Linked DNA regions of Drosophila melanogaster. Changing the gene in region 2 together with the main gene of any one other region gives a genetic interaction. Each region holds a gene or a part of one and is shown on either strand. Other genes may lie near its edges.

Evidence for each region.
Region 1: of esc (region 2) and sens, changing one suppresses a phenotype caused by changing the other (phenotypic suppression), as found in Drosophila melanogaster (one study listed by BioGRID).

What each region holds. Positions count from the first base shown.
Region 1 is NT_037436.4:13,395,437-13,403,224, forward strand, and holds sens (senseless), read right to left. Parts: upstream 5,690-7,788; 5' UTR 5,472-5,689; coding exon 5,312-5,471; intron 5,031-5,311; coding exon 3,949-5,030; intron 2,019-3,948; coding exon 1,868-2,018; intron 1,632-1,867; coding exon 1,399-1,631; 3' UTR 792-1,398; downstream 1-791.
Region 2 is NT_033779.5:11,826,704-11,831,391, forward strand, and holds esc (extra sexcombs), read right to left. Parts: upstream 2,703-4,688; 5' UTR 2,533-2,702; coding exon 2,473-2,532; intron 2,401-2,472; coding exon 2,267-2,400; intron 2,205-2,266; coding exon 2,033-2,204; intron 1,669-2,032; coding exon 757-1,668; 3' UTR 501-756; downstream 1-500. Other genes in the region: Pde1c (phosphodiesterase 1c), read right to left, coding at 3,574-4,128. UniProt on the Drosophila melanogaster protein: Polycomb group (PcG) protein.

The DNA.
Region 1 (7,788 bases), on a different chromosome or scaffold from region 2:
GTGGCCCCAAATAAAATCCTGCGGATGGGGCTCGCTGATTTGGTCGATTTCTGATTGCGACTGCCGATGAATGGCGATAATGAGGGAAGTCGGTGATTTGTAAACTGCCAAACTTCATTTCGGGCGTTTTAAAGTGCCGCAAAATGCATTCGGACATTTCGATTACCGAAAATTGCGATCAGCAGTCCTCAATGACCATTGCTCCATGCCCCCCCCCCCCTTCTCGATCCCCGCCAGCCCCATTTCTCACTTTATTTCGTCAGCAATTAGTTCGAACTTCGAACACTTATTGGCGTTTTCCCCAAGGATCGGGCATGCAAGTGGGCCGAGGGGGATGTGTACCTGCTGTAACGCGGCGACTTACAAAGGGCATTCCCCAAATGCCACATTGGGCACAGATCAAAGATCACCGCGTCACCCGAAACAGGAGCAACTTATTCCCCATCAATTGAGTACGTGCAGAAATTCATCTATAAAATCAGGTTTACGAACAGGCCCCCGAAAAAATATTTGGAGCGCTTTGGACAATTTGTATCAAAATGTGGTACTTCAAAGGAGGAGGCTGTGTCCTTGATACTAAGGAATTTCTCAGCTGCTCAAGGGGTTGATCGTAATAATGAGATATTTAACCCACCCGATGTAAAAACTTTTTGAATTAATAATACATACCAAAAATATATACATATGTATTAATCATATCATGTGTATTTTCTGATATGCCTGAGGATTTTGTATAAAGGAATCAATCAATCATTCTAGATATTTTATCCTTAAAAAAACCCATATATTTTGTTTGTTCTCTTTTAGCTTTCAACTTTATTTTCCAAAAATCATATACGCTCCTAATAAATATAATTACAATAAGTCATTGGGCTTATTACAAAATAAGAATAAACTAAAAATTCGCATAGATCGTATAAATAAATGTGGGTGATGCCATCAATAAACTTAAATAAATTAGGAAACTAAATTTAGACAAGTGGTCGCCAAGTGGTAGTTCATTTGTTTGAGGTTGTTCTTTGGTACGTTTAGCTGCCAATTTTGGGTTAAGTTTGAATCAAATCAAAAACGCTTTATGCAATAAATTAGATTAATCATTAAGCTAGGGTTTAACGGCTATAAAAAAGAGTCTTGTTTGGGATAACTATGTACAGACTTAAGGCAGTATCTTAGCTAATATGTTTTAACAATAATTCTTACGATTAGGTAAATCTTTGCGAAGGCCTAAACAAAACAAACTTTGGCTTCATAGCAACGACTTAGACTTAGGGCCAACTGTGATCTGCTCCACCTTCATCATCATCATCATCATCATCATCATCTGGTTTTGAGTGTGTGTCTCGTCCTGCTTAGCTAATACTGGGATCTCCTGGATCAGAGATTGCCGCCTAGCCTCGGTCAGCAGCTGCTGCTGCTCACCTCCATCTTCAGGGGCTTCAGGTCCTCCACTGGCGGAGCCTCCTCATGGCGGCTCTCTCGATGACGTCGCAGATCCACCTTGCGCTGGAAGGACTGATCGCAAAGGTGGCAACCGAAGGGTTTATACCCCGTGTGCTTCCTCATATGCGTGATCAGGTTGGAGCTCTGGCTGAAGGCCTTCAGGCACACGGTGCACTTGTGTGGCTTCTCGCCTGGAATCGCAGGAAAATCAATAAACACAATTAGTTAAATGCCGCTTCAAAGTTTATTAATTGTGGCCGAGAGGCGGCGGCAGCTTTACAGCAATTAGACAAATTGAAAGGCGATAGGGATCTGTGTGTGTGCTCAAGGGTGGCTCTGTTTGCACCACGTTCTGACACATTTGCCGAGGAATAGTTGGATACTCTCCCCATGGACTAGCTTTGATTTCACCGAATATTCAACTTACCGGTATGTATGTACGTGTGCTTTTTCATGTCCGACTTTTGGTGGAACCGCTTGCCACAATATTGGCAGGGATATGGCCGTGTATCGCTGTGGATGAGCAGATGTGTGGACAGGGTGGACGAACGCTTGAAGCTCTTGCCACACTGTTTGCACTAAAAAGAAAGACATAGACAATAGAAAAATACATTATTAACACCACATTCAGACAGAACGAGTCATGATTATTGGAACTCAGAATACCCCATATTTGCACAGCTTGAGCATATTCACACCAAAAAGCCAAATAATCAAAAAATCAGAAAAGAATTTATATATAAATTCACCGTTTTTGTGTGCCTGAGCCAAATTCGCAGTGGCAACATGAATTAAACTAGATTTGTGAGTGCTCAAATATTTGTTAGACAAGTGACGACAAGGGAAAACCCAAACCAAGCCAAACTTGGTTAGCCCACATCCAGGCGACAAATAATCTAGAACCTTAGCCATTTCTCAGCGCTGAAACCAGCTAGGTAAATATCTCGGCCCAATGCTAAATCTCAAGTGAGACACTTTCCAGGGAGCTTTAGCCATGCATATATGTACATACATTGTATATACCGCAGTATTTGTGGGCCAAACACAGCTGGGATCCACGGGGAATCGATCGCGGGGATTGGACGAATCCAGTGGCTGTAACATCTTCGGTTGTCAGATTAAATGTTTGAACAGTTTGCCAGTTGCAGCAACGTTGCAAGTAACCAAACATTGACATAACACAACTCAAATCGTCGGCCTACGTGGGCGACATTTATATTAAACACGAAAACATGAAAACAACGAAAAGTAAAACACAGAAATGGGTGAAAAAAATGTGAGACAATTTTTTTTTTGAAAAACCCGCATGGTCTACGCGTAATTGTAAATTGACACAAGTGTCGGTTTTTTAAAATTTCTTTCTTATTGATTTTTATGTTCTCTTATTTTTTTATTTTTTACGTTTTTTTTTAGCCTTGTTTTTGGGATTTTCTATTTGCGCATTGCATTCGCGTGGACCATATCCACTACACACATTGGCTAGACTCAGACCCAATTAGTTGCTCTATTGTTAAGCTGCGCTCAACTGCCTGAGCCATAATGTCAATTTGCTTAGCTCTGACAACGGAACGGAAGTTGGCAAAGCTCGAAAGGCAAAAAAAAAAAGAAAAAACGAGCAGGGAAACAAAAAAAGAGTTAAGGAGAAACCCCAAAGTCTGAGTCAGCCGGGTGGGCCTCCAATGGTGAACAGATGTAAAGCACGAATTACAGAAAAAATTCGATTTTATACATAAACAGCTGAAGAACAGTGACTGCGCCTGCGCAAAGGACTCTGGCAACTGTCTTCGTCGGCTTTTTGACCATATGTCGGTCCGGTACTGAAGCCCGAAAACCTATCGCATTTCACTCTGACCCTTTAATGTGTGAAAAAAAAACTGGAAAAAGATGTTAAAAAAAAAAAAAATAAGGACTCGCGGCGGGTGTTGATGGATATAAACGCAATATGACATCGGGGTAGGCATAAGGCCTATTAGGGTAAGTCGTCTCAAATTCCTGAGGGTCGTGTGCCCTCTTACCTTTTGCACAATCCAATATCGAATTATTATGATTGTAATTTGTACATAAATCTTCGAGGGCGAGTTATGCCCCCCACCGCACTGGCGCTAATCAAAATTATTTGATTAACTAATTGCGTGATTTCGATGGGACTTAATTGAATTTCCATAGAGCTCTATCGGTTTGGCTTGTATTACCAACTTTATGACAGTATTTGCTGTGCCACTTTTCCAAATTGAAAGTGGTATTGGTGGGGTTTTCGGCTCGGCGACAATTAAAACCCGCACGGACAAAATATGAAACAATTAACACAGGGGAATTGTCGAGGACACGCAACCTTATGCAATGATACGAACAGTATTCGTTTTGGGTTATAGATCATGGTCCTTCAGGACACGTGATAAGCCCATTAAAGCGGGCTGGGGGCTCAGAGATTTTCAAGCGATTTGCCCTCGATTTCCTCTTCATATTTCCCTACCCCTCGACGCGTTTATCCTGTTTGAGTTTGCTTACCTGGAAATTCCTGCCGCTGCGCTTCTCTTCGTTTTCTCCTTGGTAAGATGACGAGGAGGACGAACGACGCGCAACATCTGTGGCCGTCGAGTCAGGATGTTGCTGCTGATGCTGATGTTGCTGCGGCTGCTGCTGGTGATGCAACTGTTGTTGCTGCTGCTGCTGCGGCTGTTGGTGTTGATTACGCATGTAGCCGAATTCGGCGGCTGCCACCAAATTCATGAGTGCCGCTGCCGAGCGGTTATCCTGCTGCTGCTCGTCCTTGATGCGATGCTGTTGCTGCTGCTGCTGCGGCTGCTCGCTCTTCAGCTTCAAGTGCTGGGTGAGCAGCTCCAGATTGTTGCCCGTCAATCCGGCCATGAATGCGCTGCGATGGGCATACAACTGCTGTTGGGCCACCTCGAACTCCAGATCCTGGACGGCATTCGAGGCGGGAGCGGACAGCGAGGAGATCGGCGATTGCAGCGAGGATATGGATGCAGTTCTGCGCTCATACTTGAACTTTCGCACAATAGGATCCACCTGGTGCTCCTCCTCATCGCCCTGCTCCTCCATCTTCAGGCCGTACTGCTCCCTTCTCGCCGATCTCTCGCACATCGAGGCCGGTGACCAGATGATGTTACCCTGCGATCTCTGGCGCTGTTGCTGTGGTGTACTCGAACTCTTTAGATTCACAGCGCTCAGGGGAGGCGGGGTAACGTTCAGCGAGGTCATCGGATGCAGTTGCTCCACTTCACTGCTGGAACTGCTCCTGCTGCTGTTGTTGCTGCTGCTGTGATACTGATCTCGGTTGGAATCATCCGATGTGATGCGCTCCTTGGTGCTTAGATTTAGTGGCATATCCTCATCCTGCTCCTGATAGTCCTGCTTGCTGTTCTCATTGTTATTGTTCATTTGGAGTTCATGCTCCTTTTCGGGCGTCAAGGCAAAGTCACGATCCCGCTGACCCAAAACCACAGAGGCGGGCGATTTGGGGGTCATGGGGGTCAGTGGTGTACCCAGAGCCGTGGCCGAGGACAACAAAAATTGGGGCCACAGTAGGGCACTCGAGTAGAGCAGCGGGTTGTACAAAAAGGGCAGATCTATGAAATGCAAATTTAACGAATCAGTTGAATAGTAGTGATTAAGATTAGGAAGGAAAAGTATCCTCAGGATGCCTATCAATATAAAGTTACTCTTGTATTGGTAAGAACTACAGTAAAGTTAACATAATTTTTCTGATCTGTTGAAAGTGTTAACATTTTGATTTTAAATCGAGTGATCTTTTAAATACAATTCGAAACGATTAAAAAGCTATAAGCTAATCTTTTTGCTATCTTTACTGCCCCATATATTTTTCTGTCAATCCAGATCGGGAACTCACCTCGACCATTGAGTTTCTGTGCTGCGGCGGAGGCTATCACAGTGTTGAAGGCGGATGCCCGCTGCATCCACTGCTTGTCCAGAGCTGCTCCATGGCAGCCCAATCCCGCGGGACTCGGCTGCTGGGAGTGCGGCGATGGCGGCGGCGATAGGTGATTCATTTTGATTCTGGATCTTTACTTTTTGGAATCTCACTGGATCTGATTTACGTATTTGCTTTAACAGTCTTTGGATTGTGATTTTTCTCAATACTGTTCACTGCACAAATCTCACTTTCTTGGCGTTGTGATCTTGGATTCGAACGGATCTTCGATGGGTCTTATTCAGTGCGGTTTTATCTTGACTCACTGGAGACGAACACGTCCGTATCGCTCGGTGCTTCGCACCTGACTGAATCTTTGGTCGATGGCTCAGTTCTAAATTGAGCCAACGGTGAAGCGACTTGGCCCGAAAAAAAGGTACAAATCGAGCTCTCTTTTTTTTATTTTTGTGTGCGACTGTGGTTACTTGTGGCACTGTGTGAGTGCGGCAGCAAGCCGAATCAAAACGAGCCCTCGGTGTATTGGTGTTGACTCTTTTGGTGGTGGCTCTCGAGAGCCCTGCAATGTATTGTTGGTGTTGGTGTTCGTGTTGCCAACTCTGGTTTTTCACCTTTGGCAGCAGTTGGCGGCAGTTGCAGTCCTGTGTTCCATGTTGTATGGGTCAAGACGCACAGTTAGGAGTCCCCTGGCGATCTCGATACCCCAACCCCCTGCGTTCGTATCCTCTTGGCCCATCTACTACTGGTTTTCCAGCACGCGTTTCCCTACTAATTGGTATGCACTTAAAGTTTGGCGGGCGTTTGTTATCCTTTTCCCGCTGCCCTGTAACAGTTACAATTGCCTTTGCTCTTTCTGTTGCTGCCACCAACTGTTGTTGGCTCAGGAATATCGGGATCGGTACTTTGGCCAAGGGAGAAGAAGCGAGAGAGGGCCAGCAATCGGCAGAGGATTTCACTGCTGATCGGTGGAAGGGGGGAGAGGACGAGGGCGGGATGGGGCGGGGTAGCATACAAATATTTAGGTGGATGAATCCAAGGATCTAACATCTGTCGTGGCAACTCTCCATGTTTGTAGATACTGTTTAGATTACCTTTAGATTTGACAAGGATTACAAATGGGTTCCTAATTTTGAATGTGATGAAAATTAATTTTTGTATTAATTATTAAAAATACATTGCGAGTAAAATATAGGAGAAATTAAGTTTAAATTCATTTTTATTTGCGCTTCTCCCAATAAGGGTAAATAGTTTAAAGCAACATCGTGAATTTAATCTTTAAGCTTTAGACTTCATCCATAAAAAGTGTTATTACATTTTAGAGGATTGACGTAAACCTACTTCACAACCAATGCACAAATATATAAACTTTATTTAAATTATTGTAGAATTTTTTTTGTTATATTTCTATATAAAATCTACCTTACCAAAATGACATATTTGATTATAATAATGTTACATTTAAATACATAAGATTAGGACAGATTTTATTTAATAGCTATCAAAATATCAGATTTCCCATTTAAAACCGTTTTAACAAATAGTTTGGTTTGGTTTCAGAACATTAACTTTCAACAAAGTTTTTGTTAAATTTCTCAATGCAAACTTTGCAGTTCGTCGTATTTTCCTAAAGCATTTCAATAAAATTAAAAGACTGAATTCTTTTGTCAGTCAATTTAAAACCAATACCAAACTCTAAGCCATAAAGTCCCCATCTTCTCGTTGGATCGTAGCTATTAAACCACTCAGATAGGACGACTGAGCACCTGCCACTTTCTCCCTCTACCGCTCGATGCACCTTTTTCCGAGCTTATCCTTGATGAGAGTTCGGGGTCCTCCTCCTGAGTTGGTAGCTCGCCACGCTTGGCCACCTCGTCTTGGCCGCCTCAATTCCAGTTTATCTATCCTTGGCGCGGGCCACACCTGCCTAGAAAACGAGCCAAGAAAATGTGGCGGGCGCACACTTACACTTCCACATTTAACGATCCTTTTCCTTGTCAGCAATTTTAGTTCCCATCCCCTAGTTTTTGGCGCAATTTCCATGGCAGGACATGTGCAGAGTTGAGGCGACACCGAAATTCCATCGCACTCGTGTCCGCCACGGGTGCCGCCGATCTAGCGAAGCGGTACGAGGCACGCGGCCTAAAAGCGGGCCAAAATGGGGGAACTCTGGCTTCTACCATTTCGACCGCGATGAGGGCTGGCCAAGTCAAGTTGGTGGCATCGTTGCGCTTGGCGGCGTTCCCATACATATTGTTTATCTGGAGAACTGAGGGCGCGTGCTCATCCCCTGCCGCTTTGTAACGGATTCACCGTATGCCGCTCACACATCTATCATCGTTTGATATGCGGTACACTGAGAGAAATACTGTTTTGAAAATTACAATATTCCTGCATATAGAATCCGCTTAATGCAGCTAGGAATGCAGCACTGAGAAATT
Region 2 (4,688 bases):
GCTATTTTCATAAACTTCCATTAGATACAACCCCCCAAAAAAGAAAAAAACCCATGATGGAAATGGCCTGCACTTTCATCAAAACGAGAGAGAAGCGTTCGATAAAAATCCAGCTAGGGCATGGCAAATCATTGTGGGACTCTGCTCGCTTAATCAGTCTGCTGGGAGCTGTTATGGCTGGTCGGGATCGCTGTCCGCCTGGCCTGGCTTGGTTTCCCACTCATCCCGGTTCGCACGCCCGTTGGCAGTTTCAATTTCGTCGCGCTTATTCGCCGCATTTCCAGCAGATTGGAGCTGGATGGCGTTGCAGCAATGCATATAAATGACGTAGCAATTGAAAGCCATTTGTTATGCGCAGCTTTGCTTTGTTTCGCAATTAGAATTGCCAACTGGGGACACTCAGTCAGCTTGAAGACGTTTACATGGCTTAAAGAGCAGCAGTTTGGATTCTGGTTAAGCAGAAAATACATCTTCAATGTTGCTTATATACATGTGAAATTACAATGTACTCACTTTATTTACAATAAATAAAGGCAGCAGAGTAAGCAACAACTATTCGTTCTTACATCTAAAAAGCAACCGGCTTAACATATTTAAATCTCATCCAACTATTAATTGGATTTACTTGAAATAATTTGGAACAGCACAGGAGCGTAATTCTATATCTTAATGCTAACCAACTAGGAACTAATTGAGGGAAATGTTGTAAGTTTTGGCCACGTGAGATTTGGTTTGTGGTTGCGCCCAGCTGCGCCATCAGATGGAAGTTGTTTGTCTGCGGTTCCATCGCCACACGGTGGCGTCATCGCACACGTAGACCAGTACGCTGGCATCGCGAGAGAAGGCTATCTGGCGCACAGTGGCCACGCTACGCGAATTGTGCAGGGTGGTCATGTGTGCGCCCTCGGGATCGCTGGGATCCAGCTCCCACACATACACCTTGCCCTGCTGATTGCCCAGGGCAATCACCTTCTGCCACGGATTGAAGCCGAATCTCACGAACCAGATCTCGCACTCGTCGTACTCGAATTCCGCAATTATCGTGCAGGAGGAGTCGCTCGGCTTCACCTGCTCGAAGCTCTGATGTAGTTGTCCCGGTTTCCAGCAGACAATGGCATTTTCGCAGGACTTGGAGAGCACAAAGTTGCCGAACCACTGCACACAGTCCACATAGTTCCTGTGTATATCCCGCGTTGAAAAATCGGGGAAGTGCTTGGTCACCGTGGGGAAAGGCAGCGTTGACTTCTCCTGGCTGAAAGTGTTCGACAGTTCGATCTTGTGATGGAACTCGGGCGTATTCAGACACCACAGCTTCAGCGAGTGATCCATGCCGCTCGACACAATGCGATCTCCACGCATATTAAAGTCGATGGACAGCACCTCATCGCGATGTCCCTCCACTCCGCCCAGGATGGCAATGCACACATGGCTCTGGATGTTCCACAATCTTATCGCGTGATCCTTGCTGCCCGAAAGCAAAAGCTGTAGCTTGTGCGGATGGAACTTCAGCTCGTTAATGGCCTGTCCATGGCCAATGTAGTTGCCCACCGCCTCATTCTGCTCGACATCAATAACCCGGATGACTCCGCGGTATCCAGCAGCGGCCAGGAGAGGTGAAGAGGTCTTAAGGTCGTACGACCAGGCGCAGGTGTAAAATACTTCATCGGGCTGGGAAGGGAATTCAAGATTTGTTGATGTATTTCGAGTTTGTACAATTACATTTGCGACCATATTCTCAGTTACTCTCGGCTAAATTAACAATATAAGCTTTAATTTGAAAACTTGACTGTTATGAAAAACCAAACTTAATACAAGAAATGATAAATGTTTGGATATTGTGAAACCATGCTGAAAGCCTGTAACGATTGTTCTTACTTTAAAACAATTAACAAAAGCAATGATTTAATAGAAACTTTGACTGGATCCCACTTTTTCTACAGCTTTGAATGCGATGTCTAATGTATGAAGCCCCTAACTTTAGCCAACTGATCAATAGGGTCTTGAAAGTGTATTCTGTATCCTGGCGACTCACATCCGGATCTGCATAGCAGTGGAGCAGCTGCATCCCGCCCTGTCGAGGGCACTCGTAGACGGTCACCCGGTTGCTGCCCGCCGTAGCGAAGACCTGTGGCTCATCCTTGCCCAGCAGCGTGTTGAAGGCTACGCCGAAGATGTTGGCTCCGTGGTTCTCCTTCACGTGGGTGCTTCATGGTAATCATTTGTAGGTTCAGTATCAGTGGCCAGCTGAGAAAGTGCATATTCTTACTCGTATTTGTAGGCGGCGCGACTTTTTGGCTTCGATTTGGTGCTCCGGCGACCGCGGCGCTTGCTGCGCGTGCTGGATGACGGGGACTTGCTGCGCGAGGTGGTGCTGTTGGTGGTATAGCTGGCCGACTCATCCTGCAGCCGGCACATGGCCCAAAAGATCCATTAATTCTCGGTTCGCACAGCCATTTGTCATTCGCTACTCACGCCGCATGATTCCTCCGACTCCTCGGGCTCGTTGCCGTTTTTCACTTTATCACTGCTCATTTCGAACGCGCGGCACGTTTGTACGGTTAAATGAAACCCAAATTAGGCCGCGACTTCAATGAACTATTCGATAATGCTTTTTTTAAATGTTTAAATAACGAGGCGAATGAAAATGTTTTTTTTTGGCGGCAATGGTGTGACCCCAGTCACGGATCGCGTAAAATACCCAGGCATTGCAGGCAGTACGGTCTTACCATTGCGCAGCGTGGCCACCTGGTCACGATCGGCTGGCCAGTGTTGGTAAACATTAAACGGTATTTAACACACTTAGGCGGGAAAGTTAAAAAAAGTTCAAAAACGACAAAACACATGCGCAAGCTAGTTTTTTAATATAGAAAACAAACAAATGTAGGACAATCAACATGCCATGGATTCATGTGCGGTATTCAAACTTTGTACATGTATTCACAAAATTACACTGGTCGACAAGACTAGGAGAGTTGCTGCTTGCGAGTGGCGTCAAAAGTGGAAGATATAGTTTCTCAGAAATGCAAATGTATCATACAAATACTTTAAGCAGTTTTGAATACATTTAAAGTATATCTTCCAGTTCTCACTCCTTCAAGTGCTTACTACGTATGAATGTAAGTTTGATTTAATAGTTGCACGGAGTATTTAAACGTAGTAAGCAATTTTTTGTCCAAACGCGGCAACGAAACATTTACAATCCCGCTGAGCGCGGCTGGGGAACGAAACAAGTGTCCTTTTTTCTTTTTTTTTTTTTGATTAGTCTAGGATAAAATAGTTATTTACAACAGAAGCGAGCAAAAGATTTGGGGTAGGGGACAGAGGCTAGACAGAAGATTACAGCAGTGGAAATCGCAGACAGAGGTCAGCAGACAGATGGATAGATTGGATAAAGGAGAGATAGAGAGACAGAGTTCATAGAGTTATGTGTGTATATATAGAAAGTAGTTCATTCTGGAGCTGTGTGGTTGTTGGTTGGTTAACGCAAACGTGAAACGATAAAGGCAAATCGAACGAACTGAAGAGGCGTAACGGATAAACGTTAGTCTAGCATAGAAATCAAATTTCAAGTACGTTTTGTTCGTCGACATGGACCTGGCCCAGGTGGGTGTCCTTAGGCGGCGTTGCCGATGCACCGCCGCTGGGTTACTGCAACTGCCACTGCTGCCGGCACTTCCCGCTTGACTCTCGGCCGCCTTGGCACTTGGCTCCGCGGTTGCGCTGGAGGAGGTGGTGGTTTGGGATGTCAATGTGGATGTGCTGGCGGGCGGCGGTGGTCCCTTGTCGCCGGGATCCTTCGAAGGACTTTCTTCCATCACCGATTCCCTTACGGTTTCCAGGGCGGGTTGAAGCTTAGGGGCAGGTTGTGCGATAGTTTCGCTCGAGGTGTTGGATGGTGGACCCGTTGGGCCACTGTGGGTCTGCGGCGCCTGGGAAACGCCCTTGGTGCGACTCTCTATGCTGTCCTGGTTGTCAGCGCCTGGTGTGACACCTGCACCTGCTCCCCCAGGCGACGCCTCCTGCAGGCTGCAACTCCTATTGGAGTTGTTGTTGTCCTGCTGCTGGTCATCGCGTCCGTGGCTATGGCGACTGCAGTTCAGGTTCTTGCAATTCCCATTGCAGCCCTCCCTGCAGAAGTAAATGGCCGGCATACGTTGGGCGCCAGTTTCGAGTGCCAAGGCGGTCAAGTTTTTCGGCGCCCAGCAGTTGGCAGTGAGTAACAGCGAAAATGCAAATGGGCAATTTTTGGGCAACGAGACACCACGTTGATTTGACGTTGCATAGCATTCGGATTGTTTGTGTGTTTTGTGCAAAAGTTTTCATTTAGTTTTCATGTTTTTTTTTTTTTTTGGTTTTAGGTAAATAGTTTTGGCAATAGAAAGAAAGAATATATAAATAGAACATCAGTTGAGAGATTGTGATAAAGCTTTTGGGTTTAGTAGGGGCAGTGGATTGGACTTTTCCCACGAAGATTGCCTTACTCTAAATAAAATATCTGTCAATCATGTTCTAAAGTTGAACCTTCAAGAATTTCACTGTTCACATTTATATACAAAAAAAAAAAACAAATATTTTGTTAAAATAGACAATACAGTTCAACAATTCGTTTCCTTCTGGTAGGGCAACTTTTAAAAATGCATCAATTCCGAAACAAAACAAAAATCCTAGACGAAATGGCAATCGGAGTT